2 linked regions of the Arabidopsis thaliana genome follow. The protein of the gene in region 1 interacts with the protein of each later gene in a pairwise test. Each region holds a gene or a part of one and is shown in the gene's direction. Other genes may lie near its edges. The genes, in order: MKS1 and AT2G22880.

The links.
Region 2: the proteins of MKS1 (region 1) and AT2G22880 interact in a two-hybrid assay, tested with the Arabidopsis thaliana proteins (one study listed by BioGRID).

Annotation. Positions count from the first base shown.
Region 1 is NC_003074.8:6,429,031-6,432,848, reverse strand, and holds MKS1 (MAP kinase substrate 1), read left to right. Parts: upstream 1-2,334; 5' UTR 2,335-2,425; coding exon 2,426-3,094; 3' UTR 3,095-3,315; downstream 3,316-3,818. Other genes in the region: AT3G18700 (uncharacterized protein), read left to right, coding at 1-84, 171-224, 350-437, 529-594, 952-1,127; AT3G18680 (Amino acid kinase family protein), read right to left, coding at 3,329-3,717, 3,801-3,818. UniProt on the Arabidopsis thaliana protein: Regulator of plant defense response. May contribute to MPK4-regulated defense activation by coupling the kinase to specific WRKY transcription factors.
Region 2 is NC_003071.7:9,740,414-9,743,595, reverse strand, and holds AT2G22880 (VQ motif-containing protein), read left to right. Parts: upstream 1-2,132; coding exon 2,133-2,477; downstream 2,478-3,182. Other genes in the region: AT2G22890 (Kua-ubiquitin conjugating enzyme hybrid localization domain-containing protein), read left to right, coding at 257-1,096; EMB2001 (P-loop containing nucleoside triphosphate hydrolases superfamily protein), read right to left, coding at 2,675-2,884, 2,972-3,134.

The DNA of each region.
Region 1 (3,818 bases):
TTGTTCAACATCTTCTTCTCTTCCCTTCTTGTTATTGCTCTCCGATTTTTCGATCAAGATGTCTCAGATCGCTACAGTTACAAGGTATCCAAAGTTACCACATAAACTCTATACAACAACCCTAAATTCCTCTGAATTGCGAGTAAAGTTCTATGTTTTTTTGTTTGCAGTTCATGTTTCTATACCAAGGAGTTCAAAATCTCCTCTGTATCTTGAAGAGAATCGTCCGATAGATGTTTAATGAAGTCTTTACCGCGCTCGCCATTTTTTATCTCTGCAAGGAATCTCTAAAACACCTGCTTTATAACTTGAATGTCAAATCCACATGCCGAGGAGAAATCCTCAGCAGGACAATGGTTTGAAGTTTTTAGAGAATGCATTCCTTGTGAAAAAACAAATTGGATTAAAGTTTAAGAACATCAAAACTAACATGAAAGGTGAGATTTTTTTGTTAAATACTTTCAGATGCTACTTTTTCTATGTTGTTTTTGTAATAACTTTTTCAACTTCCTTTTCTTAATCTTTTAGAGAAGGCAGTCCTTGTGGAAAATGAAATCGGATTAAAGTTTAAGAACATCAAATTTGAAGTGAAAGGTGAACTTTTTTTGTTTGTTTGTTAGTTTCATATCCAAATTTTGGTAGTTTGAAAACAAAAGTTCCAACTTTTCATAGTCACGTTCATATCTACATCTATAATAACTGTTAGTAGTTTCAAATGCAACGTTTTGCTCTGTTTTATTTTGGAACCATGACAATAGAAATTGTTTCGTTTGCATGTATAACCAGACACTAGTAAACATTCTCTAGAAACTATGCAAAACACTAAACAACTCAATGACTATGAATATGTTAGAATTTTTAAAACTTAGCTTTCTTCATACCAAAATTGTAAATACAAAGCCATTGAGTCTACCTTCGACCTGTAGTGTTTGGTGGATGTGGTTCAGCAAGGCGAGGAGTACCCATGTCCGTCGTTGCCAGCCCTCCCTGATACTAAGGCATCGTCAAATTCGGACCTCGATATGGCGCCGAACCACGAGTACCAAGTGTCTGTCAATTCCCCCACACTACTCAACGACAGTACTGGAGAGGTTTCTAAAGGACCATGTTGGAGTCATCTTCTATGAGTAGTTTATCTTTTTAAATTAGTAGCTTTCAAACAATCCTAAATTTGTAGTTTTTAAACTAAATAAAAATTTAAAAAATATATCTATAGTTATTAATTTAGGGAATAAGTTGAAAATAAGTCACTTTTTCAAAATAAATTTATAAAAGTATTCACTTTACTATTATAATATACAAAGTAGTCATTTTTCGTACACATAAATTTATACAATACATTCAATATACAAAGTATATATATTTATATATATATACTAAAAGTATTGTACATATGTAAGTATACGAAAAATGATTACTTTACAATTATAAATAATAAAATGACTACTTTTAAAATTATGTTTTAAAAAGTAACTACTTTCTCAATACACTCTTATTTTATTCGAATTGTTTGAAAATATTATTACACTCGAAAGTTTCAAACTTTGATCAGCTATTTTCTTGGACCAAACTAGAATTGATATGGGCTTTGGATAAACAAATGAAAGCCTGTTAGCAACCATCCTCATAATATATGTTCATTGTTATCATTATCTATATATGGAAAAATTATTAGACTAGTAATATTTTTATGTAGAAATGTTTTTAACCAAAGCCAGTTTATTTTTCTTTTATCAGGTAACTTAATAAAATCATTTATGTTTCAACGAGGACTAGTATGTTTATGTAGATCTTATTTGGTCATAGGTTCAATTTCGTCTTCTTTTTTTGCTGACAAAAGACAACTAAATATCTGATTTCTATGGGTAGATACTTAATTACTTAGTCTTCTAAGTATATATATTTAACTCACCCTATACAATATACATGTTTTTGTTTTTTTTAACAACTCATATGATAGGTCTTAATTAGGTTTGTTACTTCTATGCATGCAGACGTTAATAGCTTAGCTAGGTACTAAGAAAGAAAGAAATTGATTGTTACCATAATTTGCAACTTCTAGAACTTGTAAAACTTAAATAGAACTATCACTAATAATTGTATGTTAATGATTGACAACATTACTAATATATATAACTGTGTGCCGTTGATAATGTTGATTCCTAAGATCTTTCCTACTAATTAATTATCTAACATTAAGACAAGAATGGAAGTTTCCTAATTAAGCATGTGCTGTAACAATTTGGTTGGAGACACAAAAAGTCAACATTTTTTAAAGTCAAACTAATCGTTCTGATGACTTTTTATTTCTTTCTCTTTTTTGTTGTTTTGGTCAATTTTCTCAGTCGCCAAAACATTCAATTCCCAAACCAAACAGAGCAGAAGAACAACAAGTTTTGATTCTAAAAAAGGAAGCTTCCCAAGTATGGATCCGTCGGAGTATTTTGCCGGCGGCAATCCTTCCGATCAACAGAACCAGAAGCGGCAGCTTCAGATCTGTGGTCCTCGTCCTTCACCTCTTAGTGTTCACAAAGACTCTCACAAAATCAAGAAACCTCCAAAACACCCTGCGCCGCCGCCAAATCGTGACCAACCGCCGCCGTATATTCCTAGAGAGCCGGTGGTTATCTACGCCGTATCCCCCAAGGTTGTACACGCAACCGCGTCTGAGTTCATGAACGTAGTCCAGCGACTCACAGGGATCTCCTCTGGTGTTTTCCTCGAATCTGGCGGCGGTGGAGATGTTTCACCGGCGGCGAGGCTAGCGTCCACGGAAAATGCTAGTCCAAGAGGAGGAAAAGAACCGGCTGCGAGAGATGAGACGGTGGAAATCAACACGGCTATGGAAGAAGCAGCTGAATTTGGTGGTTATGCTCCGGGAATACTCTCGCCATCTCCGGCCTTGTTGCCAACAGCTTCTACCGGGATATTCTCTCCGATGTATCATCAAGGTGGGATGTTTTCGCCGGCTATACCACTGGGATTATTCTCGCCGGCGGGATTTATGAGCCCGTTTCGAAGTCCTGGCTTTACTAGTTTGGTAGCTTCACCAACTTTTGCTGATTTCTTTAGTCATATTTGGGATCAAGATTAGATTTTTTTTTGGTGTTTTGCTCTGTAATTTTTTTGTATTATGTATTTTGACATATCCAATGTAGTAGCCCAAAGGGTTTAAAATGAGCTTCATGTATAAAAAGATTAACTTTCAAAAATTTCAGACAGATTCCTAGAATGTAAAACTTGTCTGCAAACTAATATATACAGGAGTTACAAGATTCTCCTGACCTAAGATACTCTAATAAGTTTTGTGTTTTGAGAATAGGCTTCTTCATGAGGTTGTTGTAACAATGGAGTTCCAAGTTCCTCCTATCAATGTACCAACTCTCTCTCCTTTGATTGCTTTGGCGATGTTCCCAGGTTCCGAAAGATTGAATACCACAACTGCAAATTGACACAGAACTAAATAAGCATTCTTGTTGTATTTTAGATGATCATGTATGCATGTGGTCAAGGTTTGAGAGAGTGTTATAGAAAACAAGCCTGGGATGTTATTTTCTTGGCACAAAGTGATAGCAGTCATATCCATTACAGAGAGGTCCTTTGAGGTGACCTCTTGGTAAGTTAGTGAGTCAAGCAGACGAGCGTTTGGGTTTCTTTTAGGATCATCGTCGAACACGCCATCAACATTTGTTGCTTTCAGCACTACTTCTGCATTAACTGTGTCCAATGCGAAAAGTTTTTTTTTAGTGTTGCGAATAATCATTGGAGAAAACTTAAACGGAAACCACCTCTTTACTTACTTTCAGCACATCGAAGAG
Region 2 (3,182 bases), on another chromosome or scaffold:
ACGAGTAATTTTGGGTTTAATAATACTTTTTAATGTTAGGTTTTAGTTGGTAACTTCATAAATTAATCCAAATTTTTTGAGATTTTCTTTGAATGTTATTATCTCAATACTCTCTTACTTTCTTTGGTCAAAATTATCTCTTTTAAATGATTTTTTTATCCTGTCACAAAAAAAAACATATCCTTGTTTTATTTAGCTTTGGAAAAAAAAACAAGAAACTTGATATATCTTTTCAGACATCACATACTCTGCTTCAATGGCTACATCTCTTCAAACCAAATACACTCTAAATCCCATCACAAACAACATCCCAAGAAGCCACCGTCCATCGTTTCTCCGTGTCACTTCCACCACCAACTCTCAGCCTAACCATGAGATGAAGCTTGTTGTTGAGCAACGACTTGTGAATCCTCCTCTCTCCAACGACCCAACTCTACAATCTACATGGACTCACCGGTTATGGGTTGCAGCTGGCTGCACCACCGTGTTTGTCTCTTTTTCCAAATCAATCATTGGAGCATTTGGTTCTCATCTCTGGCTCGAACCATCTTTAGCCGGTTTCGCCGGGTATATCTTAGCAGATCTAGGTTCTGGTGTGTACCACTGGGCCACCGATAACTACGGTGATGAGTCTACGCCTCTAGTAGGAATCCATATCGAAGACTCTCAAGATCATCACAAGTGTCCATGGACAATCACCAAACGGCAATTTGCAAACAATCTACATTTTATGGCTCGAGGCACAACCTTGATAGTTCTCCCACTAGACCTTGCTTTTGATGACCATGTGGTTCATGGCTTTGTAAGCATGTTTGCATTTTGTGTATTGTTTTGTCAGTTGTTCCATGCTTGGGCTCATGGAACGAAGAGCAAGCTTCCACCTCTTGTGGTTGGGTTGCAAGACATTGGGCTTCTTGTTTCACGGATACATCACATGAATCATCACCGAGCACCGTATAACAACAATTACTGCGTAGTGAGTGGGGTGTGGAACAAGGTTTTGGATGAAAGCAATGTCTTTAAGGCAATGGAGATGGTGTTGTATATCCAACTTGGGGTGAGACCGAGGTCATGGACCGAGCCAAACTACGAATGACGGAAGAAACCGACATATCCAAATGTTAGCCGTCACTTTTAGCTATATTCTTCGCTTTAAGTGGGAAAAACTCGATTTTTTAGCCGCGGCTTCGAGATTAATTTATATTTAGTTTAAGATATAATATGTCAAAAACCAAATGTTTTCTTTTACTTAAAAACATGTAGATCACAATTGTGATAGATTTGATAAGTTTAATATATCATTTTTGGGTAAATGTAACAATTTCTAAAATGTTTGCATTGTATGGAAAGTGATATTCAAGGTTTGTAGATAGGATATCTTTCTCCGTTATACATATTTTTTTTTTCTATGCGGATAATTGAGTCTCATCACTTATCGAGATATCTCTTTACATTATTGCTTTTACTCTGACACTCGGAAGCAAAAGTTTTGTTTGCTTGTTATATTGTGTAGTTGTGGACCTAAACAGTTTTCAGGATCCTAACGGAAGGTAACTAATTAAGGCACAACCTTATTTCATACCACCCAACCAAAGTTCAAATGTTTAATTTATATCTAATAATTTCTTATGCGTTAATATATACTTAATCTTTTAAATAAAATTAAATTACATACCTAATTTATCAAATTATATGCAAAATTATATATTCTGCTGACGTTAGATACCACATATTTGATGATAATGATGACATGAATGCCATGTTACTAATGACACCGTTGCCATGTCATCTAGATTATTTTTTAACAAAAACTACGTTAATCCAAAAATGTACTCATTGCTTTTCACCTAACATTTAAATAAACAAGAAAATAAAAATAGTTAGCACACCCACGTTGACATTTCAATTCCATGAATCATCCCATCTCGTTCCCATTCATTTCACTTAAAAGTCAAAAACCAAGTAAGCCGCAAAAGAAGATCATAAAACCCAAAATGACTTACACGCTTCAAAACGTTGACATAATAATGCCGTCCACACACTTATAAATACTTATATGTGTACACACAAAGCCATCAAGGTAAGACACTTCGCTTCAAATCATTTGTGTATTACAGAAACTTCTGATCGTCATGGAAGCTACTTCACAACCATGTTTCTCTCATAACTCCTCACTTCATTCGACCCGTAAGCAACCGGCAAAGCCATGGAAAAAACCCGTAACGGGCTTGCCTCAGAGGATGCATCCTAAAGTTTACAGAGTCGAGCCTGTTAACTTCAAGGAGTTAGTTCAGAGGCTAACTGGTGCAGAAGACGTTGAGCAAGAGGTACATCAAGTTGAAGCTAAACCAGTCAAGATTTCTGATGATACAACAACAGCTAAGGATAATCCGTTCGCGTTTGATCTTTCACCTTCGTCATCTCGGTTCTGGGAAGCTTTCCCTCTGCTTAGTCCTGCTAATCTATCAAGATGGTAGCAAGAAAGAAGCTATTCTTGCCAATTTTTCGGCAATTCATGAATTTGTTTCATCAGAATTAGAACTGTAGTAGTAACACTTTATGATCTTATCTTTAAATACAAAAGTTACTGTTACATTACAAAACTACAATTTGATATAACCAATGATTCAAAACCGACCTTTTCGAACATTTGTTTACGAAATTTACGCGCTACCTATTGATCCCAGTAGTTTCTCAGCTGCGACATGTGAAGAAGAAGCTCGTCTCTGCCTAAACCAGATACACTACTCGTCAAAATCCAAGGAGGATGTACTTTAAAATTCTCTCTAATGATTTGTTGGAAAGCTTTAATGTTCTCATCAGGTCTTTTCCCTTTCGTTGCTTTCATTTTATCGCATTTCGTAAACACGAAAGTCATCGGTACCTGAAAAATCATCGAAAAACGTCATTTAACAAGTCCTCAAAGCAACATTTCACTGAACACACAAAAGCCAGAATTGGTACCACATACATTGTTGCGACCAAGCCAATTAGCACAATCAAGATCAATCTTCTGAGGAGGAACACTTGCATCGATGAGAAGTAGAACACAAACAAGACTGTCTCTATTCAAGAAGTAACCTTTAGTAAACGCAGACCAATCTGTTTTCGCAGCATCTGAAACTTTAGCAAATCTGCAAATATATTCTCAACATCAAACAATAATAACGTTTATCTGAAAG